7 linked regions of the Oryctolagus cuniculus genome follow. The main gene of each other region encodes a partner of the protein of the gene in region 6 in a complex. Links are inferred from orthologs where the notes say so. Each region holds a gene or a part of one and is shown on either strand. Other genes may lie near its edges. The genes, in order: IQCD, DRC12, IQCG, DRC1, GAS8, EFCAB2 and FBXL13.

The links.
Region 1: EFCAB2 (region 6) and IQCD share a complex: the UniProt entries of both Homo sapiens proteins name them as parts of the nexin-dynein regulatory complex. The link is inferred for Oryctolagus cuniculus from reciprocal best matches to the Homo sapiens genes DRC8 and DRC10.
Region 2: EFCAB2 (region 6) and DRC12 share a complex: the UniProt entries of both Homo sapiens proteins name them as parts of the nexin-dynein regulatory complex. The link is inferred for Oryctolagus cuniculus from reciprocal best matches to the Homo sapiens genes DRC8 and DRC12.
Region 3: EFCAB2 (region 6) and IQCG share a complex: the UniProt entries of both Homo sapiens proteins name them as parts of the nexin-dynein regulatory complex. The link is inferred for Oryctolagus cuniculus from reciprocal best matches to the Homo sapiens genes DRC8 and DRC9.
Region 4: EFCAB2 (region 6) and DRC1 share a complex: the UniProt entries of both Homo sapiens proteins name them as parts of the nexin-dynein regulatory complex. The link is inferred for Oryctolagus cuniculus from reciprocal best matches to the Homo sapiens genes DRC8 and DRC1.
Region 5: EFCAB2 (region 6) and GAS8 share a complex: the UniProt entries of both Homo sapiens proteins name them as parts of the nexin-dynein regulatory complex. The link is inferred for Oryctolagus cuniculus from reciprocal best matches to the Homo sapiens genes DRC8 and DRC4.
Region 7: EFCAB2 (region 6) and FBXL13 share a complex: the UniProt entries of both Homo sapiens proteins name them as parts of the nexin-dynein regulatory complex. The link is inferred for Oryctolagus cuniculus from reciprocal best matches to the Homo sapiens genes DRC8 and FBXL13.

What each region holds. Positions count from the first base shown.
Region 1 is NC_091452.1:10,280,515-10,284,727, reverse strand, and holds the start of IQCD (dynein regulatory complex protein 10), read left to right. Parts: upstream 1-1,413; 5' UTR 1,414-1,635; intron 1,636-4,213. UniProt on the Homo sapiens protein: Component of the nexin-dynein regulatory complex (N-DRC), a key regulator of ciliary/flagellar motility which maintains the alignment and integrity of the distal axoneme and regulates microtubule sliding in motile axonemes.
Region 2 is NC_091432.1:111,112,813-111,116,816, reverse strand, and holds the start of DRC12 (dynein regulatory complex protein 12), read right to left. Parts: upstream 2,801-4,004; 5' UTR 2,739-2,800; intron 2,654-2,738; 5' UTR 2,581-2,653; intron 1,301-2,580; 5' UTR 1,289-1,300; coding exon 1,219-1,288; intron 888-1,218; coding exon 822-887; intron 1-821. UniProt on the Homo sapiens protein: Component of the nexin-dynein regulatory complex (N-DRC), a key regulator of ciliary/flagellar motility which maintains the alignment and integrity of the distal axoneme and regulates microtubule sliding in motile axonemes.
Region 3 is NC_091435.1:82,163,111-82,165,277, forward strand, and holds part of IQCG (dynein regulatory complex protein 9), read left to right. Parts: intron 1-1,784; coding exon 1,785-1,919; 3' UTR 1,920-2,167. UniProt on the Homo sapiens protein: Component of the nexin-dynein regulatory complex (N-DRC), a key regulator of ciliary/flagellar motility which maintains the alignment and integrity of the distal axoneme and regulates microtubule sliding in motile axonemes.
Region 4 is NC_091433.1:176,389,139-176,392,638, forward strand, and holds part of DRC1 (dynein regulatory complex protein 1), read right to left. Parts: intron 1,333-3,500; coding exon 1,220-1,332; intron 321-1,219; coding exon 231-320; intron 1-230. UniProt on the Homo sapiens protein: Component of the nexin-dynein regulatory complex (N-DRC) a key regulator of ciliary/flagellar motility which maintains the alignment and integrity of the distal axoneme and regulates microtubule sliding in motile axonemes.
Region 5 is NC_091449.1:69,565,458-69,569,590, forward strand, and holds the start of GAS8 (dynein regulatory complex subunit 4), read left to right. Parts: upstream 1-1,333; 5' UTR 1,334-1,477; coding exon 1,478-1,594; intron 1,595-4,133. UniProt on the Homo sapiens protein: Component of the nexin-dynein regulatory complex (N-DRC), a key regulator of ciliary/flagellar motility which maintains the alignment and integrity of the distal axoneme and regulates microtubule sliding in motile axonemes.
Region 6 is NC_091444.1:64,976,838-64,980,825, reverse strand, and holds the start of EFCAB2 (dynein regulatory complex protein 8), read right to left. Parts: upstream 2,801-3,988; 5' UTR 1,802-2,800; coding exon 1,777-1,801; exon of another isoform or gene 1,264-1,776; intron 1-1,263. UniProt on the Homo sapiens protein: Component of the nexin-dynein regulatory complex (N-DRC), a key regulator of ciliary/flagellar motility which maintains the alignment and integrity of the distal axoneme and regulates microtubule sliding in motile axonemes.
Region 7 is NC_091434.1:141,323,819-141,327,318, reverse strand, and holds part of FBXL13 (F-box and leucine-rich repeat protein 13), read right to left. Parts: intron 1,754-3,500; coding exon 1,592-1,753; intron 1,018-1,591; coding exon 885-1,017; intron 1-884. UniProt on the Homo sapiens protein: Substrate-recognition component of the SCF (SKP1-CUL1-F-box protein)-type E3 ubiquitin ligase complex.

The sequences.
Region 1 (4,213 bases), on a different chromosome or scaffold from region 6:
CTCCTATTCATTCTGAAAGCAAGAGGCTCTTAACCCCGTCAGGCCAGCGCGCACAGCTCCCTAAATTTCCTCATTATTGTCCTACTGGTATTTTAGGTTTAACTGTGTAACCCACGACAGCCTGCTTGCACGGATGTCCCTCCCGGCTCAGGGGCTCTCAACAGGATTGACTTTGCTCACCAGGGGTGGGGGCTTGTCCGTGGGCAGAGGCCAGGGAGACCACTACACCGCCTGCAACTCACAGGTGAGACCCCTCTCCCAACAATTAAGAACCACCCGGCTCAAAGTGTCCACGGTGCTGCTGTGGGGGACCCTGTCTCTGCACAGCCCCCCCACCCCGCACAGGTGACGGGGGCTTAGCCGGCTTAACTTGCCTCTTACAAGTAAACTCCAGCTCAGTCCCAAGTCCTCTCCTCCCTGTAACCTACTCGCCGCACCGTCCCCCAACTTAAACTCGAACCCATCATTTTACAGAGAGGGAAATGGGGCCCAGAGAGGGAAAGGGGTTTGCCCAAGGTCACACAGTGCACAGCAGCGCTGGGACCCGAGTCCTGAGACCCAGCCTGGGCTCCCCCAGTGGGCTCTGGTCCACGGACAGCCCAGAAGGTCACCCCTAGAGACAGGTCCTGGGGCCTCGAGGCCAGCTGCCGTCCCGCTGTTCGCTGGGACAACCCGACCGGGCACCGGTCTCCGCAGGGTCACCCCAGGGCGCCAGGCAAAGGAGCGGGCCAGGGAGAAAGCAGGAGGAGGGAGTGCGGCTCCAGTTGCACGTGCTCCCTGCCCGGGTCGGGGCGCCCACGCTGGGGTCGTCCCAGGAAGCCAGGGGCGAGGAAAAGGGGTGCAAAGCTTCAGCGCGGACTGGAGAGAGAACAGCACGGCCGGGACTTCCCCGTGCTCCTTCGGGGCTCGCCCTGCCCGCCTCCCACACGCGGGTGCCCAGACGCAACCCCTAACTCCGCGCCCTCTGACCCTCGACCCCTGCCCTCTCCCTCGGCCAAGCCCTTGCATCCCTGGGATTCTTACACGCGCCGCCCCAGCAACCCGGACCGCGCACCGGGGTCCGCACCGTGCAGCCCAGCCCGCCGGCGCCGCCACCAAAGCGCCGAGCCCGGAGCTGTTGCAGGGGCCGCAGCTGCCGCCACTTCAGCCGCTGCCACCACGGCAGCTGCGCCAGCTCTCCCTTCCACCGCCTACCGTCCCTTCAACCCCGCCGGCCCCGCCCCATTCCTCCTCCGCTGCGGCCTACTGGCTACCTGGGCTGCCATGCTGAGTTCTGATTGGCCAGGCGTCACGTCCTTCCTCAGTTCTCGTTTGCTGCCCAAGCAAGACTGCCTGCCCGCCTCCTTAAAAAGGGGCGGGACTAAGAAGCTCCGCCCTTTCCCACCCGCCCCGCTTTATTCACTCAGCCCAACCCAGAGAAAGTCCCAGGTCTTTCAATTGGCGGAACAGCAGCGAGGCGTTGCTTCTGATTGGTCAGACCTCAAGAGGTGGGGCTCACGGACCAAAACAAGAAATTGAATGGTAAAAAGCAAAGTCAGTCAGACTCCGAGGCCCGCCCCCTGAGACTGACAGGTAACCTAGCAACGCGGGCACCGCCGCTGTAACTGCAGAGAAAGGTGGAACCCCTCGGAACCGGTGAGTAACCGGGGTCCGCCCTGAGGTCTGGGACGCCGAGGAAAGTGGGTTAGGGGCTAGTCCGCGCCCCTCAGCTCCCTGAGGAATAAGTAGCCCCGTCGCCTCGCCGTCCCGGCTCCGGGCCTCGGGCTGGACCTCGCTTTCCACCGCCGCGGGGGCCACAGGGCAGCCCCCTGTGGGCTCTGCCCGCTTCGCGGCCCCACTCCCACCCGAAACGGGGGACCCCGTCGGCTCCCCGTCTTAGCTGGCTTCCCCCGGTCAGACCCGGCGCTGGGGGTGAGCGCGGCTCCGCCCAGCAGCCCGGGGCCTTTGGGGTCGTCTGGGTCCGCACTCGCTCCGGAGTCTGACTCGCATCTCCGTCCTAGAGCGGGGGCTGGCTGTGCACTCGGGCAAGTGTGGAGCCGCAGAGGTTAGCTGTGTGTCAAGCGGAGTAAGCGCTCAGTGACGGGGCTGGCGCCGGGCTGGGCAGCACAGCAGGTGCTCAGCGAGTATTATTATTATTTTTTTCTAAAATACATCCAGCCTTGACTTTTCCCTCTTAACATGGCTCCCAGGGTGTTCTGTTTCCCACCTTAAGTATTTATGAATTCAACAAGTGTTAACCAAGTGCCTGCCGTGGTACTGCGGTCAGAGGGATAAGCAGAATGACCGGCACTCCTGCCCGCTGGGAGCGTGTGGCCTAGGATGGGAGACAGTCACGGGAGAAATAATCCACTGGCAAGTGTGAAATTACACCCCAGGGGACTTCCAGAAGGTGGGGTGGAGGCAGGAGAGGGGGGTGGTGCGGCACGGGCAGAGTTACAGTCTGGGCGGTGAAGACGGTTCTGGGGATGGAAGCGTGTGAGTGGGGGTGTAACGGCCTTCAAGGTTACTAAAATAAAGGGCAGGGTTTGGAGCAGTGGGGGAGAAGCCCCCGGAGTCGCCTGCGTCCCTTGTCAGGACGCCTGCTCCCTGCTAGTGCACATCTCAGGAGGCAGCAGGTGACGGTGCCGGTGTTTGGTTCCTGACACCCACCTGGGAGACCTGGGTGCAGTTCTGGGCTCCTGGCTTCAGCCTGACCCAGCTGTGTTCAGTGTGGGCATGGGGAGCGAACTAGGAGATGGAAGGAATCTCTCTCTCCCTCTCTCTCTCTCTCTCTCTCTTTTCAAATACAATGGAAAAAAAGATAACATTTATGTTTATTTTATCACAATTTTATCAAGATTTGTTTTTATTTATTTGAAGGGCAGAGTAACAGAGAGAGGGGAAGAGACAGAGGAAAAAGGTCTTCCGTCGGCTGGTTCACTTTCCAAATGGCCTCATCAGCTGGAGCAGGGCCAGGCTGAAGCCAGGAGCCTGGAACCCCATCTGGGTCTCCCAGGTGGGCGGCAGAGGCCCAAGCACTCGAGGCGTCTTCCGCTGCTCTCCCAATCACATTAGCAGGAAATGGAAAGACAAATTGTGGATGTCCCATGCGATGCTCTTAAGCGATCAAATACGGAAAACGGGCTACAGTGCGGGTGAACCTCAAAAACTGTGTGCTCTTCAGGATTTCTCAATCTCAGCCCTACTGACATTTGGGACAGATAATTGTCTCTTTTGAGGCACTGTCTTGCAAACTGTAGGATGCTTAGCAGTGTCTCTGGCCCCTACCCCCTGGATACCAGCAGTACCCTCTCCAAGGTGTGGAAAGCAAACGTACTCTGGATTATTTCCAGATACCCCCTGGAACATAAAATCACTCCTGGTTCAAAACCATTGTGCTAAGCAAAAAGCCACAAAAGATTCCATACCATATGACTTCACTTATATAGAATAGCCAGATAAATGAAGTGTGGGTGGCACCAGACATTGCAAATTAGTTCATGGGAATTGGGGGAGTGAGGGGAATGTTCTAAAGCTGATTCGTAGGGATGTGGCATAACTGTAAGTCTGCACTGTCCCCTTGCAGTGGGTAGATTAGACCTCAACAGGTGTGTGCCATAAATATGATGCAAGGAACGGGCAGAGGGTTTGCAGGGCTTGGCGTGTGCTCTCTGTCCTCGGCTGCGGAGGAGCTGCCATTGAGCCGAGACCTAAGGAGTGAGAAGTTCCCAGTCTGGGCCTGGGGATCGGTCTCTGGTCAAAGGAACATCAAATGTGGAGGTCCTGGAGCCAGGGCGGTCAGTCGAAGCCAGAGTGGCCACAGCTCAGGGGCTGTGAGCGGCAGACTTTGAGACAGGCGGCTTCTCCTCGCTCAGCCCCTACTCCTGTTCCCCCCTCCACACCATCTCACTGGCACCCACACCACCAAAGTAGGCCTCCGCCTGAACTCTGTCCTCTCCCTCATCCCACGGACTTTACCTACCCTGTGCATCTCTGTCTGGCCACTGCCTTGTCCCCGATGAGGCCACCCGCATCTCCATGGACGACCGTGACAAGCTACACCGTGACAAGCACCTGCCATGCTCCCCTCCCCCGCCACACACACTCTCTCTCAAGCTACAAAGCTGCCCATGTCATTGCTTCAAACCCCTCTGGGACCTGTCACTTCCCTCTCCGAGCAGTGAGGGGAACTATGATGGCTAAATGTCCTAAGTCGGTCTAATTAGGGGGCCTG
Region 2 (4,004 bases), on a different chromosome or scaffold from region 6:
TGTCCTGGGAAAGCAGTGGAAGATGGCCCAATGCCTTGGGCCCCTGCACCTGCCTGGGAGGCCTGGAAGGAGCTCCTGGCTCCTGGCTTCGGATCAGTGCAGCTCCAGCCATTGTAGCCAACTGGGGGAGTGAACCAGTGGATGGAAGACCTCTCTCTCTCTCTCTCTCTCTCTCTCTCTCTCTCCTTCTCTCTCTATGTAACTCTGACTTTCAAATAAATAAATAAATCTTAAAAATAAAAGACACCTGGGGGCAGGGCACCCCACCTCTTATTCTTTCTCTTTCTCTTTCTGTTTTTTTTTTTCTTTTTAAGTATTTATTTTATTTATTTGAAAGGCACTGTGGCAGAGAGAGAGAGACAGAGACAGAGAGAGAAAGATTGTCCATCCACTGATTCACTCCCCAAATGGCTGCTATGGCTGGGGCTGGGCCCCAGTACTTGCACCATTACCGGCTGCTTTCCCAGAAACATTAGCAGGAGTTGGACTGGCAGTGGAGCAGCCAGTGGGATGCTGGTGTCGCAGGTGGTGACTGAACCCATGTCACCACAATGCCCGCCCCTTTCTGTCTCTCCAGGTTGTTGGGTCATTTTATTTTCCTAGGATCTCATGAGCTTTTCATTGCTAAGGAGTAAAACCTCCCTCCATGTTCTGGCTGTAAATAATAGCGTCCCTCATCAGCCTTCCCTGTCCTGTTCCACTAGGGGATGGTTAGGGTTTGGCGTAGCTTCCACCGTGGCTCCAAACGTCCAGTCCCGCCAGGACACAGCAGCGCCCCCACTGCTCTGCTTCTGTGGTCCCAGATAGCTCACCCTTCTTACCCAGCCGGTCTCGGAGCAGCTCCGTCTCCAGCACCAGCTGTCTGTGCTTGGACTCGGCCTCCACATCTGTCCTGGCAAATGACAGAGCCTTAGCTTACATGACCCCCGCCCCCGGCCCTGGACTCCGTCCTGAGCCAGCTCTGAGGGCTCCCTGCGGGCAGAGTCCATTCAGCATGCACCGTGTGCTCCCTGCCCAGCACAGATGAGGCATTCAACATATGGGTGACCAGTGGGGAGGCACAGAGCTGGGCGGTCTCGAGGGAGGGCGTGGGTGACCATTCCCCCATTCCTCAGCTCCGTGGAATCTGGACAGCGAGGACTGTGCTGCGGGCCTCTGCTTGGTCTCTGTTTCAGAACCCAGAGAAACGGGCACCCACCCCCACCCACGACGACTCACCCGGCCCTGGGTTCTTTTTCTTCTTCTGCACGCCGGCTTTCCTGCCTTTCTGTTTGGTCTTGGGTGGCATTTCCTTGCTGTCCTGATGGAGGGAGGGGACCTTGCTTTCAAATCTGGACAAGGGGATCCTGAACCAGGAGTCTTGGGAGGGTCAGAAGTCTGCTTTCCAAGTCTGCCCCTTTCTCTTGTTTTAAAGACACAAGTCTTTCTTTTTTAAAGATTTATTTATTTCAAAAAAATATTTATTTAGTTGAAAGCCAGAGTTGGGGCAGGGGGTGGAAGGAGAGATCTTCCATCTGCTGATTTAGTCCCTAAATGGCCCCAGTGGCCAGGGTTGGGCCAGGCAGAAGTAAGGAGTCTGGACCCCTGATCTCCCACGTGGGTGCCGGGGCCCCAGGACTTGCCCATTCTCTGCCGCCTTCCAGGCACATTAACAGGGAACTGGATCAGAAGTGGAGCAGCCAGGACTTGAACTGGCACTCGAATGGTACTTTAGAAAGTTCGTGGGATACAGACTGGGCATTCGGTCTAGTGGTCAAGACGTCCACAGTCCATATCAGAGTGCCTGCTGCACTCCTGGCTGCAGCGCCTGACTTCTGCTTCCTGCTGCAGAGACTCGGGGAGGTAGCAGGGTGATTCAAGCAGGTGGATTCTTGCCACCCCCTTGGGAGAACTGGACTGAGTTCCCAGCTCCCAGCTTTGGCCAGGTCCAGTCCCAGCCATTAGGGGAATTGGGGGAGTGAACCAGCAGATGGGGCCTCTGTCTGTCTTTCTGTCGGTCTCTCTCTGACTCTCAACATAGTTACAATTAAGGGAGAAATGAGAACAACAACAACAACAAAAGAACAAAAAAGTTAATAGAAAATACAGTTAAATCCATTCACAGTTTCTTTCTTTTTTTTTCTTTTTTCTTTTCTTTTTTTTTTTTTCTTTTTTTGACAGGCAGAGTGGGCAGTGAGAGAGAGAGACAGAGAGAAAGGTCTTCCTTTGCCGTTGGTTCACCCCCCAATGGTTGTTGCAGCCTGCGCGCTGATCCGAAGCCAGGAGCCAGGTACTTATCCTGGTCTCCCATGGGGTGCAGGGCCCAAGCACTTGGGCCATCCTCCACTGCACTCCCTGGCCACAGCAGAGAGCTGGCCTGGAAGAGGGGCAACCGGGACAGAATCCGGCGCCCCGACCAGGACTAGAACCCGGTGTGCCGGCGCCGCAGGCGGAGGATTAGCCTAGTGAGCCGCGGCACCGGCCCACAGTTTTTTTTCACAATACACATGTTCTATGAGCTTTTTGAACATCCCTCAAATATACTTGGAAGAATTTTTTGCACCAAAATAAGCTTGTCTTTTAATTACATTTCCCACAAACCTTTACTTTCCAGAAGCTTCAGTTGCCGGTCTCCTTGGAGCCTCAGGCGGGGCTGGGGTCAGTGGGGAAGACACTGCATACAGAAAGCTGTTACTCTCAGCTCTCTTGGCGAAGATACATTCCCATAGCTGTCCCCTCCCTCTTGCCTTCATCCTTACCTCACCTCCACCACTTGTCAGACCCTCTCTTGCCTGTGTTGGGTCTCCCTGTAGAGTGAGCCACTCGTGGGGAGAGACAGAGAGAAGGCCCAATAAGCTAGGAGCCTGAGGAGGAGCCTGCGTCCTGGGAGCCAATCCAAGGCAGCACATTTTCCTCAGGGGGCTGGACTGAGAACTGGAAGGTTGGGTTTCTGGAGGTTGCATGTTGCCCAGGCAACTGAGCAACATGGAGTTCATGAGAAGGTGCAATAGGCCAGATCAACTCACAATGCCTAAAAGACCAAGGTCTGGGAAAGGTAGTTCTCCTTTCATCCACAAATCCTAAGCATAGTTTGAAAAGAAAGGGCTTTGGAGCAAACTAGCTGTGATTCACTTCCACGTAGGTGCTGTCATTTGGAGACTCAGAAATGACAGATTTGCACGGCTGAGACAACACTGTTGTGCGGATGTGGAGGAAAAGCGTGATGGCAGCCGTCTTGGACGATCCACATCCTGAGATCCTATTGCAAGATGACCTTGTGCTGAAACCGGAAGCGTCCCTTCGGCAAGGCATTCTGCAGGGTGCAGGAGCAGGTGCTGGGGCAGACTTCCAGAAAAATGAGACACAGAGGAGTGAGGACCCGTAGACTCTGGGGTATTGGCTTGGCGGGATGGACACTGGTTAGGGACCAAAACTGCAGCACAGGCCCCCTCTCTGGAGGTGGAAGCTATTTAACTTGGTTTAGCCTGCTTCCTGCCTTTTACATCACGGAGTTGGTAAATTCTGAAGGTCCTGGGTCTTGACTGGGTATTTACATGACTGTCTTATTGCACCCACTGAATCTATTGCCTTTAGGTGGTTGATTTTCAGAAACTACCTTGAGGGGCTCCCTGTACCATAGAGTTGGTTGGGGCTCCCTCTAGTGGACTCGCTTGTATTCCCAAGTCTGCTAAATTTTTTTTTTATATAGATTTATTTCATTTATTTGAAAGGCAGAACGACAGATACAGAGAGAGACAGAGATCGTCCATCTGGTTTTCTCCCTAAATGCCAACCACAGCCATGTCTGAGCCAGGCCGAAGCCAGGAGCCCAAGACTCCATCCAGGTCTCCCACATGGGTGACAGGGGCCCAAATGCTTGGGCCATCAGCTGCTGCTTCCCAGGCGCAGTAGCAGGAATCTGGATTAGAAGTGGAGCAGCTGGGACTCAAACCAGCACTCTGATATGGGATGCCCGCCATGCAGGCAGTGGCTTAACCTTCTACGCCACAGTATCTGCACAAGGT
Region 3 (2,167 bases), on a different chromosome or scaffold from region 6:
GGATGCCAGTGCTTCAGAACAGGGCTTTAACCCGCTGCGCCACAGTGCCAGCCCCGGAATGCGATTTCTAACCAAACCAGCTCTTGCCAGAATGATTCCTTTGAATGTACTGCTCCCTAAAGTCTTGTCTGCAAATCAGACTGCTGGGTTCTGATAGAAGCGGGTTAGGGATTAAAGACCCTAGTTAGTTATGTGTGAGCTTGTGTATATTAGTAACTGTGGCAGCTCACAGTTCCTGGGAAATACTTTCAGGCAAAAATGGTGATGCAGAAGTCCTGTGAGCTGGACTGACATGCTGTCCTCAGACTGCCCTTCTCCCCGCAGGAGGGCCATCTGCTGAGCCCTGGTGGGCAAGCAGCTTTCAAGTACACCTGGGACCAGGCACGCAGACCCAACCCGAGCTTTCTTTGAGCCAGGTCTATATAGTTAGCACGTATTTATCAAGCTTCTATGGAGTTTTCCATCCATCAGGATTCTTCTATTTAGAGCAAAAATGTAAAGAAGCTGAAGGCCACTTATATTTCTCTTCACTGGTGGATCTGCTTCCCAGTCACTAGGACTTAATTTGATTTTTTTTTTTTTAAGATTTATTTATTTGAAAGTCAGAGTTACACAGAGAGAGGAGAGGCAGAGAGAGAGGTCTTCCATCTGATGGTTCACTCCCCAATTGGCTGCAATGGCCGGAGCTGTGCTGATCCGAAGCCAGGAGCCAGGAGCTTCTTTTGGGTCTCCCACGCGGGTCCAGGGGCCCACGGACTTCGGCCATCTTCCACTGCTGTCCCAGGCCATAGCAGAGAGCTGGATGGGAAGTGGAGCAGCCGGGTCCTGAACCAGCACCAATATGGGATGCCGGCACTTCAGGCCAGGATGTTAAACCTCTGTGCCACAGCACTGGCCCCACTTAATTTGATTTTAAAGTGGACTACAGTGTATTCAGAACAGTTACATCTAACAGAGGTATTCAAGGGAGCTCCCTAGAGCTTTTTTTTTTTATTTTTTTATTTATTTTTTTGATAGGCAGAGTGGACAGTGAGAGAGAGGTCTTCCTTTTCCGTTGGTTCACCCTCCAATGGCCGCTGGGGCTGGCGCGCTGCAGCCGGCACACTGCACTGATTGAAGCCAGGAGCCAGGTGCTTCTCCTAGTCTCCCATGCGGGTGCAGAGCCCAAGCACTTGGGCCATCCTCCACTGCACTCCCAGGCCACAGCAGAGAGCTGGCCTGGAACAGGGGCAACCGGGACAGAATCCGGCGCCTCGACTGGGACTAGAACCTGGTGTGCTGGCGCTGCAGGTGGAGGATTAGCCTGTTGAGCCACAGCACCGGCCTCCCTAGATCCTTTTTGAGAGTAAGAGGCAAATGGGTCCTTTACTCAGTTACTACAGATAGGAGATGTACCAGGAAGCCCAAGGTCATCTGGGCTCATCTGCACATTTTTGATTGAGTGCTTGCTTTTCCCCCTGCCCAAGCACCAAACACTGTTGGTTATGGGGCACCTGGGTGTCCATTAAAGGAAGCAGCCGTACAAGGAAGTCAGGTATCTAAGTGGGAAGGACTATTTGGCAAAACAGATTCCTTCCTGTATCCTTAGTCCTCAAGAACTTAACTCAAGTCCATGGCTTTAGCTCTGGGTCCTGTGCAGCAGGGAAGCATTGCCATGGTGACTGGGTACCTAGCCACTTCCATGTCCTAGGCAGAGACCATTCTCTGACACAGGTTACCTGGTTCAAAAACCCCCTTAGGTGGAAGGCCCACCAGAGGTGGTACTCACACGTCCTGTCTTTCAGCTTCAGGCCTGGTGGCGCGGCACTGTGATACGGAAGGAAATTGGTGGCTTCAAACTGCCCAAAAAGGAGAAAGATGATAGCAAAGAATCAAAAGGCAAAGGCAAAGACAAGGACAAGAGGAGAGGCAAGAAGTGACTGAGCCATTTCTGTCCTTTCTCCTGGTGTTCCAGAGATGGGAAGGGGTGCTTGGAGGGAGAATGATCTCTTTGCACCACAGGTAACTAATCCAAGGTTAACTTGGACTCGGCAAGGGAAGGCTGGTGGTTTCTTTTTGCCTGTTGCATTAGTTTTCAAACCCTGAATCAGGAGTGTACTGTTGACTTCAGGTGTCCTTATATTCTGAATGCTGCCGGCAAGTATATCCAGTAGCCTTATGAAGGTTC
Region 4 (3,500 bases), on a different chromosome or scaffold from region 6:
GAGAAGTTGATGACAGGCGGCTGCACACACAACTGCGAAGCCAGGGCGCACCAGAGACGCGGGCAGGGTGCAGCCCGGGGACAAGCCGATGGCTGATGGCTGCGTGCAGGGGCAGGGCAGGGCAGCCCGGAGCCCAGTGGCACTCTGGGAGACCCTGCCTACTCCCAGGGTGGAGACGAGTTCCAGGTCGGGCAGACGGGGCTGTCCCCGGCCCGGCCCGCGGCACTCACCGAGAAGATGGCGTCCAACCGCAGCAGGTAGCACTCGCTCGTCTCCAGGGGCAGGAGGAGGCTCATCAGCTTGCTCTCTATGAGGAAACCCTGAGGAGGCGCAAGAAGGTGGCTCCAGTCAGAGGGGGGCTTCAGCCTGCGGCTGCGCACAGGAGCAAAACCCAGGAGGCGAGCAAGGCCTTGTGCGCATGCCCGAGCCTCTGCAGGGGCACGGCCAGGGCCTGCCCTGCCTCAGACATGAGTGCCCTGCACCCATTCCCCTCAGCCACCAGCCACTGGGCGCACACCCAGGCCCCCCCCACAGCGGTCCAGACCCGACCCGGTCACAGCACTGACCCCCCAAGTGCTGCAGAATGCCGAGCTGGGCGAGGGGCAGGCATGGAGCGAGGCGGGCATGGGGGCCCTGAGCGCCTGGGGCGGGCTCCCCGCAGCCTGCAGAGAGGGGAGGCCCTGCCAGCTGACTCCCTCAGCCCCGGTGCCACAGAAAACTACCCCAGCTGTCCCCAGGGGACAGAGGCCGCCCATCCTTGCTCCCCCACTTCCCTGCACCTCAGAACCACACACTCTAAGTAAGCACTCAGCGCGGCTGAACCAGCCCTAAGTGTCGTCGCTGACACCCGGTGCAGATGCCCAAGCCTAACAGACGTCCAGCAGCCTGAAGCTGCGCCCCCAAAGAAGGGCCACAAGGCAGGGGGCCTCACCACTTGGCGGGGGATGGGGCTTGCCGGCCGGCACCCCCTCTATCTCACAATGAGCAGTTGGCAGCAGGCACGGGGGCGTGGGCACGGGGGCGTGGGCACGCCCAGCCTCCCTTGCCGGCTGGCCTGGCCCACAACCTGAGGAGCCCCAGGGGCAGCACCACCTGATAGCTGGGCCAGCTGGGCGCGGGGTGCAAGCTCTAGGCCTGGTGCCCGGCCATGGCCGGGGTGGGGCGCCTACTCCCGACTCCGGGCCCCGCCCAGCCCCGACGCCGCCCAGCCCGGCCTCACCGACTCGTCACACAGGAGCATCAGGATCTTCCTGGTGGTTTTTGCTGAAATCTGCTTGGGCAGGTCCAGGTAGGACTCGGCCTCCGAGACGGCCTCTTCTGCCCCTTCCTCTTCTGCAGAGGCCACAGAGAGGGGACAGAGAAGAGGTCATCTCTCGGCCTGTGGACTTGCAGAAACAGGGCTTTTCTTGAGCCAAGTTCCCTCCTGAAAGGCCTCGTGGAGACCCCATCAGTGGCTGCCCACTGCAGGAAGAGCCGCAAGTTCAGGAAGTAGGAGAAAGCCCACCGCGTGAGGGAGGGGGCCTGGGCTCAGAACTGGGGCTGTCTAACACCTCACTCCTCCACCTGCACCTGCCGGGCGCCCCATCCCCACAGGCCAGCCATGGAGTCCAGCAGGCATGCAGCCTCACTGCGCAGACGCCGGCAAACGCGAGCGTGCCCACACCACGGTGCCTGGGTTCCATTCCTGGCTCTCACTTCTCGCTGCAACCTCCTGCTAATGTGCACCCTGGGAGACAGCACCAGGCCACGGCCCAAGAGGCCGAGTTCCTGCCAGCCAGGAGGGAGCACGCGGGACATCCGATGGAGGTCCTGGCTCTGGCTTTGGCCCAGCACAGCCCTGGCTTTTGCAGGCATTTCACAGTGAACCAGAGGATGATCTCTCTCTCTCTCCCTCTTTCCCTCTCTCTCTTTCTCTCTCTCTCTCCCTCTCTCCTTCTCTCTATCTTTCCTTCTCCTTCTCCCAATACCTTGCAAATAATAATAGAAAAATTCTATCCATGAACCAGGAGGTGCAGGGGGAGGGATGGTGAGCCTGGTAGGTGTGCTGTATTATTTCTTTCTTTTCTTTTAAGATTTACTTATTTACTTGAAAGGCAGAGTTACAGAGAGAGAGCGTGAGGTCTTCCATCCATTGGTTCACTCCCCAAATGGCCACAACGGCTGGAGCTGCACTGATCTGAAGCCAGGAGCCCGGAGCTTCTTCCAGGCCTCCCACATGGGTGCAGGGACTTGGGCCATCCTCCACTGCCTTCTAAACCTGCAGCAGCTTAAAATCAGCCAGCTGAGAGAGGCAAAGGGGCTTCCTCTGAGGAACGTTACTGACATGAAGCGAGGGCCAACAGCAAGAGCCACCACGCAGAAAGGAGAGTGGGCACAGGGACCACTTAAAAAACCTGCTGCTTTGTGCACACGCGCGGGTACATGGGTGTGCGCATGTGCATGTGTGTGTGCATGTGCGTGTGTGTGCGTGTGTGAGAGTGTGTGTGTGTAGTTTTTAAACAAGCACTGGAAGCAGAAGCCCTGGGTTGTAACAGCCGTTGTTAGAGAGGGATGGAATAGGGTGCAGAGAGTAAATCGTGATCTCTTTGTTCATTTGACTTTGGAAGCATGTAAATATTTTACTTAACTGCAAAACAAATTAAACTATAAAGAGCAATCCTAATAATCAAAAGTAAAATTTGGGACTGGTGCTGTGGCATAACAGGTAAAGCTGCCATCTGCAGTGCCAGCATCCCATATGGACACCCGGTTGCTCCACTTCCAATCCAGCTCTCTGCTAAGGCCTGGGAAAGCAGTGGAAGATGGCCCAAGTGCTTGGGCCCCTGCACCCACGTGGGAGACCTGGAAGAAGCTCCTGGCTCCTGGCTTCGGATCGGCACAGCTTCGGCAGTTGCAGCCAATTGGAGAATGAACCAGCAGATTAAAGACATCTTTCTCCCTCTCTCTCTCTCTCTCTCTGCCTCTCCTCTCTCTCTGTGTAACTCTGACTTTCAAATAAATAAATAAATCTTAAAAAATAAATAAAAATAAAAGTAAAATGGAACAGCAGCAACAACAACAATAACAGAAGAACCGCTGCGCATCCAGCTGCTGACGTAACCACACAGGCCATTCCAGGTGGCTGCGGGATGCACTGCTCTCAGTACAAGGAGAGTGGGACACGGCTCAAGAACAAAAGGACTACAAAGGATCTCAACTGTTGCTACTTCTCACCTGTTGCTGGTAGGCTTGATATTTTCTTGGGAGAGTAATTATTTTGGAGTCACTGAGCACCAAGAGTTGCAAGTTGCAAGAAAGCAGATACACTTGATAAGGTTAATGACCATCCTGGCACCCTGCTGATGGTTAGGGTGAACTCCGGATTTATTTCATCATCAAAACATGATTCCACACCCTGGGCTCTGTCCCTTGGCCTAGAAACAACAAGGAGCACCAGAATCCACAGTGTGGTTCCAGAATCCTGTTCCCGATTCAAAGGGCCACGTGTCTGTCCCTTTGAA
Region 5 (4,133 bases), on a different chromosome or scaffold from region 6:
CGCTGGAACTCTCTTTCGGCGTCTTTCAGAGGCTCGTGGCCAACGGCCCCTCACGGGCGGGCCCCAGGGGCCGACGCTGGGCGCGAATTTAATCCGGTCGTGCTGGGCCCTCGGGTGCTCACTGGTCCTCGCGCCCCGCACTCCGCGCGGGAGGCAGCCGCACGCACCCTGCCGGAAACGCCCCGGCCCCGGCCCGCGCGCGGTCTCGCGAGGATTCCCGCGAGGATTCCCGGGGCGCGCGCTCGCCCGGCGTTGCCGGGAGACGGCGCAGCCGCGGCGGCGGCTCGTTCGCGTGGAGTTCGCGGCTGGGCCGGTCAGCGGCGCCATGGTGAGGACTGGCGGGAGTCGGGGCCCGGGTCCGCGCCGCGGGGTCTGGGCCCGGCGTCGGCGGTGCCGGCCGCGGGCGTCCCAGCGAAGGCGGCCCCGGGTCTGAGGTGCCGGCCTCGCGTTTGCGGGGGATCCCGGCGCGCCTGTGGGACCCGCGCTGTCCCGCGTCCTGCGCTCGCTGGGGTGTTCCTCGCGCCCGCCCCGCCCGCCCGGCTTGCACGGTGTGCAGACTCGAACGCCTGGGTGGCGGGGCGTCGCCTCGCAGGGGCTGCGGCGCGCGAGGACCTCCGGGCGCTGGGGCGCTGGGGCGCTGGGCGCTCAGAGCGTGCGGGGCCCGTGTCCAGGCGCTCCGGGAGCCGCGGCTGGCCCCGCAGCGGGCCGCGAAGTGGCGCCGAATCTTCCTCCAAAGCCCTGCGGGTGGGGGGTACGCGGACGGCCCGGTACCTTAGGAGTTACGGTGCTAGTTGCTAGTCTTGAAAAGCAACGGGGGAACATCAAAATAAGCTTGCGGGAATGTGGGCGGTTTTCTTTCTCTCGAATCTGCATGTGACATTTGCAGTAAGTCTTGCAAGTGCGTGGCATGGAGGGTGGTTGGGAGTAAGAGAGGCAGGATAGGGTTTGAAAGTTCAGTCCGGCCCGAGCCTGGGCGCCCTGGGCTGGGGAAGAAGCCTTGCTCTCAGCCCGGTCGTGATCACTCGCAGTGGGTGCCGTCTGCCCAGGCTGTCTAGATGCGGGTTCTCGGTGGAGTTTCATATTCGGGAAAAGGAACCCCCAGATGGCCAGGACTGATGGTTTTCCCTACGTCTGCCTGCGGTGGTTACCGGGCATTATGGCCGACCCGGTCACATCAGCGAGGGACTAGGGGTCTTCCTTTATGAGCATATACCAAGGGGTGAGTGGGTGTGCAATGGGTGCCTGCCTTTTGGAAGGAGAGCCCGTTCCTCTCTGGCCTCGCCATGTGTGCCGAAGGGTAATCGTGTGGCTGAGGCGCAGGGCAGATGAACACGCTCCGTGAGTGCTCTTCCGGGCACCCCAAGGCCCTGGACAGAGAGGGGCACGTTCTGCAGCGGGGACTCGAGCCCAGCCGGCCCAGGGGGAAGGCCGATTGGCGGTCACCCTACGTGGTCACCCCACGTAACCGTCAACAAAGATGGAAGCAACCTTCTCTTCTGTAAACAAGGCTCCCAAAAGGAAAGGGAAGAAGGGCAAGGCCAAGGGCACCCCGATCGTCGATGGACTCGCGCCGGAGGACATGAGCAAGGAGCAGGTGAGCTTCCCGAGCCCGTCTGCCGCCCCTGTGCCCACGTGTGCCCACAGCTCTCCAGCGCGTTGCGTGTCTGCTCGCGTGCCGCGCAGCCGCCTGCAGCCGTGTTCTAACAGGGTGGTAGGAATGTGGAAAGACATGGTGTCCTGGTAGGAAAGCTGTTTTCCGGGGTTGGTGTTTGGCCTGGTGGTTAGGACACCGTGTCCCTTATCCGAGGACCTGGGGCTGGTGCCCGCCCTGGGTCCTGACTTCAGATTCCTGCAGTGCAGAGGCTGGGAAGCAGCAGCGATGGGTGCGGTGACTGGGCCCCTGTTTCTGACGTCCAGCTTTGGCCTGGCCCTGTCCGGGCTGATGTGGACGTTGGAGACTGAGCCAGTGGATGGGAGCACTCTCTCTCTCAGATAATTAAAAAATGAAAATATTTTTAAATGCTATTTTTGTAACCCTTTCAGGTAGCTGGTGTTTGTAGAACTGTTCCCATAGCACATACATGCAGCGCATTCTCTTTTATTTTATTTCCTATTAAGCACTATAGCAAAAAGAAAGTCTTTAAGCAGAACGTGACTTACTTCAATCACATTGTCTGAGTCTGATTAATCATTCTTTTTTTAAAAGATTTATTTATTTGAAAGAATTGGGGGGTAGGGAGAGAGAGAGAGAGTGTGTGTGAAGAGAGAGAGATCTTCCATCTGCTCATTCTCTCCCCAAATGGCCACAACCAGGGCTGGACCAGGCCAAAGTCAGGAGCTGGAGCTTCCTCCGGATCTCCCACGTGGGTGCAGGGCCCGAGCACTTGGGCCATCCTCCGCTGCTTTCCCAGGCCATTAGCAGGGAGCTGGATCCTACGATGAGCAGCCAGGACTCAAACCCATGACCACGTGGGCAGAAGCTTCCCCCGCACCACAGCGCTGGTCCCTCGTGCTTGTTTTTACAAACGTTCCAACAAGGAGGAACAGTGTCCGGCTGCCTTCGTTGTGGCCTTCTTATTTGGGGCATGGGGTGATGTCTGTAGTTACTTTGAGACATTTTAAGCTGCTTGTCCATTTTGGTGTAAAGGGCTAGAGAACATCATGATGTCATTAAAATCTCACTTCCGATTGGGACACGTGGCAAACGCGGTGTGTCCTGTGGCATCCGTGTTGGCGGGACGCCCCCCCGTGAGTGTCTCTGGGGCCTGAGGGTGCTGTGTGAACTCAGGTGGCAGGGTTAATAAGCCCGAATATGAAGGAGCTGAAGTGCGAAGGGGTGCTCCAGGGATGTGCGGGAAGACCACGCAGTGCCGGCAGAGGTGTGGTGTGGGCGGGTCCGTTAGGCTGGCGGGGGAGCGTGGGTGCACGGGCGTTGCAGCGACCCTTGTGCTGCTGTCTGCTCCCTGTGGAGGTAGAGCTGCCGCGGCAGCAGGCCTGACACAGGCCTGGTTTACGGCACGTTGTGCAGTCCAGGAGTGAGGACAGGGACTGGCATCACCTGGACACGCGTGCCCCTCTGCTGAGGACATGTGCGCAGTCTATTGGATTCTAGTGCTGTTTTCTAATTTTTCAGGAGAAGCTAGAAATCTGGATATTTATAAGAAATCTAAGTGTTGATTGATGACGAGATCTAACTCTGTGTGAGCCACACAGAGCAGCTAGGTACCCTGGTTTAACTGTTTGTTCTGTGACCTGGTGACACGTGCCATTTTGCTGCAGCATTTGTGAGATTCTGGGGTGGCATCCTCCCTCAGAGGCCTTTGCCCTGCCGAAGTCCTCTGTGCTGCGCCCCCTTTTCTCTTCAAGTAAGACGTAGTGGTTTCCCTCGGGGACAAGGTTTTAGGAGAGAACAAACTTTACAGAAAGTGACCTGTGGCTATACCTGAAAGAGAACTAAGTCTTTATTTTTTTTTTTTTAGAGATTTATTCTATTTATTTGCAAGAGTTACAGAGAGAGAGAAAGAGATATATCAATATGAATATCAATCTTCCATCCACTGGTTCACTCCCCCAAATGGTTGCAATGGTCAGAGCTGAGCCGATCTGAAGCCAGGAGCTTCTTCTGGGTCTCCCACATGGGTGCAGGGGCTCAAGTACTTGGGCCTTCCTCCACTGCTTTCCCAGGCCACAGCAGAGAGCTGGATCCGAAGAGGAGCAGCCAGGACTTGAACCATTGCCCTTATGGGATGCTGGTGCTGCAGGTGGAGAATTAACCTGTGCCACGGCGCCAGCCCTATAACTAAGTCTTAAGTGGAATGAGATGCCAGGAAAGCTGAAGCCTGTCCTACTTTTTTTTTTTTTTTTTTTTTTTTGACCTATTTGTAGTTTTGCAATAGGCTGTGGGCCAAACCCTCTTGTGTTAGGAACCTTCTGGTTCTCTGTGCTTTTACTGACATTGTGCCTTGAAAAGTGAATGTTCTTTCACTTAATGTTATTTTGTGAACATGTTTACATGCTTCTTCTAATTTACTTTTATTTATCTGCTTAGTTTTGCTATTATAATACTGCTGAGGCTAAATATCTTTGAGCCAGAAGCTCTTGTGTTTCTTTTGAGAAGTTTCCTCAGTATGAAT
Region 6 (3,988 bases):
TGTTTTAAGAATAAATGAGATACAGCACACAACAATGCTTCCCCAACTTTAATGCACATATGGAGCACCCAGGGATACATTAGAACAAGGTCTCTGATTTGGTAGGTCTAGGGCAGTGCCTGAGACCGCTCATTTCTGGTAAGCTCCCAGTGACGCCCAGATTGCCTGAGTCCATTACACCTGCCATAATGTTGGGCACAAAAGTTGTTCAGCCTGGTTACCTGTCCCCTCCCATTTGTGTGTGTTATCTCCCTCACTGACCTCGATGTCCTTGTCATCTGTGTTGAATCTGCCTTCCATAGGACAAGCATTAAACAAATGACAACTGAATAAAAGACAGCCAGCTTTCACCACTTATTACTTCTTCTATGGTTATACACATAACTACATCTTCATCCAAATTAATTTTCAACAGAAAAAAGTATTCGTTGAAAACTGAAAAAAATGGGAAGCTCCCAACCTCTTTAAAAAAAAATTTTTAGGTTGATCAGATTTAAAAAAAAAAATCTGTGATGATTTTTCTCCTTTTTGGTACATAATAACAATAGATCAAAATAACATCCCGTTTTCTGGGTTAAGTCTTGCTAAAAGCAAAATGAATAAAATAAGCCTGCCTTCCCGGATTACTATAAAAATCAGTATGCCTGTCATCAAGTAAGTAGGCCTTTGGCACGGTTTCACGTTTGTCTGCGCAGATCTTCTGGGCTCACCATGACTGGGGAGCTCACGTAAACCCTAGCTGTGAGCCCAAACTACCTTTGTTCTTTGATTTAAAAAAAAAAAAAAATAGAGCTTTTCTGAAGGCTCCAAAAAGGAAACCAAAGTAGAGTGTGATTTTTCACTTCTAAGATGTTCGATTCTACGGTCTCGTAATTCTTTCGGTGTTTTTGCCAATTATCAAACAATTATTTTGGCGTGACTAAGAGGACGGTTAACCGAGGACCCGATTTTAAATCACAGCCCTGAATTAAAGACAACGTCCGGGCCCTTGAAAACTAAACGTGGATGTTAGGGATCCGCGGCTCCGCACGGGCAACACATCAATCCTCTCGGCCCGCCGCAACCCGGCCAGACCGCCCCGCGCACCGCGGCGCAAGCGCGGCCCCGCCCGCTCTCGCTTTTTCCCTCTTTATGAACAGCTGCGTGGGCCGTTACTGTTTCTGTGTTTTTAAGATGCCGGACGAGGTGCAGCCCCGAGTCCCACCACCAGAGAGGCGCGGCAGGAGCGGCTGTGACCCCGAGGCCGTCCTCTCGCGTCCTCACCGAGGCGGCAAGATGGTGGCCGCAAACGCCATCCAGCCGGGGCCGGGGCGGGGCTTCAGCGCGGGCTGAGCGGACTCCGCCAGATTTGGGCGGCCAGAACCCGTCCCCGGCCAGGCCGGCCCCCCGGTGCCCACAGCCGGGACAGCTGCTGGTGTGGCGCCTGCGGCAGCGAGACCCCGACCAGGGTGTGGAGGCGGCGGCGGCGACCGTGAACAACGACGCCATTATCAGCGTCCGCGGGCCGGCGCCTCCTCCGCAGCCCGCGCTGCAGCAGGCCGGGCCTCCGCGGGCGGGGGAGGAGGACGCCGCTGGCGGGGGCGGGGGAGGGGAGGGGAGGGGCGGGGCCCGGCGGCGGCCCGGGCGGGCTGCGGGGCCGGGGGCGGGAGGGCACCCTCCGGAGGCCACCCTTTTCCCGCGGCAGGGACAAGATGGAGGGTGGCCCGCCCCTCCCCGGCCGGGACAGCCCCGGGTCGCAGCGGGCGACGAGGGCAGCCCTCCCCTCGGCGCGCCTACCTGTACCTTCTCTATCATCCGCCATCTTGTAGCCGCGCCGGTCGCCGGGGAGAAGCCCACCGTTAACGGTTAACGTCGGTCCCGGCGTCCTTGCCCCCTGCGGGTCCCCTCCCCCGCGCACCCCCGCGCACCCTGGAGGCGGGGTGGCTCGGAATCGTGGGGAAGGAAGACCCCGGGCGGCGGTAGAGGGAACACTGGGAGCTGGCGCGCTTCCCGCCACGACCCTCGGGCGCGCGCGCCGCCGGCGGGTCGGCCGTTGGACCCGGTGTCGCCCTCCAGCCCGGGGGCCCGAGCCCGGGGACTTTGGGTCTAGGGGAGTTTATTTCACAAGGTTCCGGGCCCCTCCTTTCTCACCCCTTGGGGGCCGCGCGCGCACAGAGTGCTCGCCCCCTCCCCTCGTGTTTGCAAGACGTGGCGTTGCTTTTTTTTTTTTTTTCTTTTCCCCAAACTGCCGATTTGGAAACGCAGCCAGAGCTGCTGGGTGAAGAGCTCAGCTCCTGGGGGGGTAAGGGGGGCAGACCCGAGCCGCCCTCCAGCCTCCTCCCTCCCCATTCACAGCCGCGCTGGTCCCCCGGTCCGCGCCGCCCTGTCCCGGAGCGAGCGAGCCAGCGAGCGCCCCGCCGCCTGTGAGAACTGGGGCTGCAACGGAAAAACTGGGCCGGGCGCAAGAGGAAACCAGAGCCATTCGACTATTATTACTGCGGGAGAGGAGTCGCTGTAGAAAAACATGTGCAAAATACGCGCAAACATTGCGTCGTCAAGGCTGCGATGCCTGATACAAAATAGAAGGTTCTCCTAGCAACAAAAATGGGGCTGGGTTGTGCTCGGTGTTGCATACGTTTAAATGTGTTTTTTTCTGGTGAAATCTGGCTTGACCTGCGTTGTTATCATAGGAGTTTTCAAAAGTGCTTTCCTGAAACTCGGCAGCTGTGACAGTGTCATGGCAGTTTTTTTCTTTTTAGGCTATGTTCACTAGGATATTTTCTTCTGAAAAAGAGCTTTCAATAAAATCCTGATGATGTGTTTCAAACGAGTCATTTATTCAAACTATTTCAATGTGTATGTATTTCAGTGTGTATGTGTATGTGCTAAACAATTTGTAACATAAAACTGATTTATAAACCGGTAACCATAACTTTTTAAGAGGCCTTCGAAATACAACATATTTAATGATTTTATTAACAGTTTTTAGTGCTCCTTTTATTCTGGTTCTGTAATCTGAGTAAGCCCTAAAGCAAACTGACTGTATTCTTCATTATAAAAATACACATTTGGGGGGATGGTGTTGTGACACAGCGCATAAAGCCACCACCTGTCTCATAGGGGCTCTGGTTCAAGTCCCAGCTGCTCCAATTCCAATCCAGCTCCCTGCAAATCAACCTGGGAAAGCAGCAGTTGGCCCAGGTGTTTGGGCTCCTGCCATTTAATGAGGGAGGCTGGGTTGAAGCACCTGGCTCCTGGCTTTGGCCTGGCCTAGCCCCAGCCATTGCAGCCATCTAGGGAGTGAATCAGCATGTCTCCCTCTAAGTAACTTTCATATAAATAAATCCTTTAAAAAATGCATTTTCCTATTGAAGATATCATTTGGTGCTGTGATCAGCATTCTGTGTGAATTTGAATATAAACAATTGAATCATCACAAAATAGCTTGTATTGGAAGATAAATGCTTACATAAAATGATTCCAATTGTATATAGTATGTTCTTAATACCCAGAAATACTCATTAACATTCATTTATATTTAAATCCTACACTCATTGTGTGCTAATTATTTATTTTTAAAGGCTCTCCATATAAATAAGGAAGGGTTTGAAGAAAGTAGGAAACTCCAAATCTGCTCTCGGGCTCACTTGTCACTGCTCTGGCTTTGCTTAGCTGTTGGCAGGCTTTTTTCTTTCTGGAATGCCTGTCCCCAGCTCTCCGTGCACCAGCAGGCACTCTCCCACAAACTGCTGTCCCCTGCTGCTTGTCCTGCTGATGACCTTCAAGGTCACCTACTCCTTCAAGTTTGCCCTCTCAACCCCTTCCTCAGGGAGCTTCTCACGCTGATTTGCTATGGCTTTCCTCCCTCCAGAGGAGGGAACTGCTTCACTCAGCCATATGTCCCTGGTGCCTGGAACAACTCCTCAGTTTTTTTATCTCAAATAATACATAGATCAACAATTAAGAATTAGTCTTCACGGGGACTTGTTGAGAAGATCCACATCTACAA
Region 7 (3,500 bases), on a different chromosome or scaffold from region 6:
TTTCAAATAAATAAATAAATCTTTTTTTAAAAAAAGAAGAAGAATGGGCAAAGACCAACTGTTGAATGTACAACTCCTGTTCATTTGTTTTACCTTATTTAAAAGGCACAGAGACAGGTAGAAACAGAGACAGAGAGAATGTTCCATCCACTAGCTCACATTTTTTTTTTTTTTTTTTGGACAGGCAGAGTGGACAGTGAGAGAGAGGCAGAGAGAAAGGTCTTCCTTTACCGTTGGTTCACCCTCCAATGGCCGCTGCGGCCGGCGCACCGCGCTGATCCGAAGCCAGGAGCCAGGTGCTTCTCCTGGTCTCCCATGTGGGTGCAGGGCCCAAGCACTTGGGCCATCCTCCACTGTACTCCCTGGCCACAGCAGAGAGCTGGCCTGGAAGAGGAGCAACCCGGACAGAATCCGGCGCCCCAACCGGGACTAAAACCCGGGGTACCGGAGCCGCAGGCAGAGGATTAGCCTATGGGGCCACGGTGCCGGCCCACTAGCTCACTTTCCAAGTGTCCTTGATAGCTAGGCCTAGGTCAGGCTGAGGCCAGGATCCTGAAACTCTATCCAGGTCTCCCGTGTGGGTGGCAGGGATCCAAGTACTTGTGCCATCACCAGCTGCCTATGAGGGTGCACATTAGCAAGAAGCTGGAATTGGAAATGGAGGCAGGACTTGAACCCAATCACTCTGATAGGGGATGTGGGCATCCCAAGCAGCATCTTAACCCTGCACCAAATGTCTGTCCCTTTGTTTAAATATTTGTTTTTGGCATCCTTATGACCTAACAATGCCACCAAAGTTTCTGTTTTATTTGTTCTTTTCTTTTTTTACTGATTTAATTAGAAAACAGGAAAGCAAGACCAGTAGCTATAGTGAAGGCACATACCAATAGATCTCAAAGTTCTCGGTCGGAGAACGCAACCACGGAAATTCAAACGCAGCACATTTAGACGCCACCTGTGCAGTGTAGTCACGATATCTTTATCAGCAATTATATTTTTCACCATGGAAAAGTCAATCTGGACAGGATAAACAAAGACATTAAGAAATGAAAAATACCTATGTCATGTAAATATTTTAAATATTTTAAAATGTCAAGTACTAAAAGCTCTTCATCACCTAATTCCCCAATAGAAAAAAAGTGTGAAATGTTAATCTGAGCGCTCTATTTACTAGAGTATGCAAATTTCAAAAATAACATACACACATATACATGCACTCACACATGCACACACTATTCCTTTTCATTCTAAAAATGATTTAGGTTGACGGATAAAAAATACAGTGAAGTAGGATAAAAAACACAAATGCAATTGACTTAACATGAGTCAATCGATGTCCAGTCTCGTGAATTGAGACAAATTAAAATAGCAACGAGATATCAAATATCAAAGAGCAGAGATGTTAAGAAAAGTTTTGAAGCAGAAGGTACGCCATCATTCTGTACACATTAATGATTCTAAATCCACCTTCATCCTAATAACTCCACCTCCAGGAGCTGGCCCTGAAGATATGATCATACATGTGTGTCCTGGGAATGAGGACAGGATACCCACTGCAGGAGCTAACAGCAGAAGACAGGGAACAGCGTACCTGCCCTCCAACAGAAGACATGAAATACACTGAGGGCTTCCACACAACAGAACGCTGGGCGGGGCATGGCAGCATAGCAGGTGAAGCCAGCATCAGCTTCCCATATGGGCACCAGTTCACATCCCGGCTGCTCCACTTCTGGTCCAACTCCCTGCTAATGACCTGGGAAAAGCGACAGAAGATGTTCCGAGCACTTGGGCCCCTACCAACCACGTGGGAGAACTGGAAGAAGTTCCTGGCTCCTGGCTTCGGACCGGCCCAGTGCTGGCCATTGTGGTCATCTGTAGAGTGAACCAGAGGATGAAACATCCCTCTCCCTCTGGCTCTTCCTCTCTCTTTGGAACTCTGACTTACAAATACATAAATAAATCTTTAAAACAACAACAAACAAGAACACTGGACTGAAGCTGACTTTAGAGCAAAGAAAATACAACTCAGAAGGAGAAAACCTGATTGGACGATTCAATGGAAGGACAAAATTTACAACATTTAGAAGATGTGCCGGACTCAAATCCTTCATGAATATGACTCCTTGATGCCAACATTTTTATGAGACTGGGATCTGAGAGCTCAAGACTATATTACAAGAACTCGAGGAGCCGAAATTTTATGCTGCCTGCTAGGTGGAAAGCAAATGGCAGGTCTGGCAGTCCCTTATAAATATTTGCTAATCAAGAGCACACACTCTGTAGTTGAACAGACAAGTATTTGAATTCCATCTTGGCCACTTAACAAGTTGGGCAGTTTCTTCGCTCAGCCTTAGTTCTGTCATCTGTAAAGTGGGAAAAATAACAATGCCTAACTCTGCAATGGATAAACTGAGAAAAAGGCAAGTAAGGTGCCACACAACTAGCACTCAATAAATATTAGCTACTATTATTAATTCAAAAAAATAGAACAGACCAGCACAAAATATAGAGTAAGGAAATTTTTTAAATTGAGCATGGAGTAAGACTAAAATGTAAGTAAGAAAAACCTGTTGCCAGATGCCTTTGCATGCACACAGCCAAAAATACACTTTAGCATTTTCCAATACAGACTTCTATGCTAGTACTACATAGTACTATTCTTGCCCTAGTACTATTTTTGAAACCTGGAACAAGTTTATGTTTTTCATTCCAAAGAGACACTGGGGAGAAGACTCCAACAATTAAAACAAAATTAAAGGACATATTGGGAGCAAGCATTGTGGCACATCAGGTTAAGCTGCTGCTTGCAACACTGTAATCCCATATGCATGCCGGTTTAAGGCCTGCCTGCTGTGCTTCCGATCCACCTCCCTGCTAATGCATCTGGGGAAGCAGCAGAAGGTGGCCCAAGTGCTTGGGTCCCTGCCACCCAGTTGGGAGGCCCAGATGGAGTTCTAGCCTCCTGGCTTCAGCCTGGCCCAGCCCTGGTCATTGCAGCCATTTGGGGAATAGATCAGCAGATGTAAGATCTCTGCCTTTCAAATAAATATTTATTTTTTATTTTTAAAAGATTTATTTATTTATTTGAAAAACAGGGTTACAGACAAAGAGAGAGACACAAAGATATCTTCCCTCTGCTAGTTCACTCCCTAAATGGTCACAACAGCCAGGGCTGGGCCAGGCAGAAGCCAGGAGCCAGGAACTCCATCCAGGTCACCCTGTGGGTAGCAAGGGCTCAAGTGCCTGGGCCACCTTCTGCTGCTTTCCCAGACACATTAGCAGAGAGCTGGATGGGAAGTGGGACAGCCAGGACTCAAACCAGTACCTGTATTAGATGTCAGCACTGCTGGCGGTGGCTTAACCTGCTGCACCACAACGCTAGCATGGATCTTCTTAAAAAAATCAAATATTGTCTCCCCAAAGACTTCTCTTATCTGTTTCTTGGATGACACTGTAATCTCAACAATGATGATCACTTATGCCATCAAGTAATGAGTGGT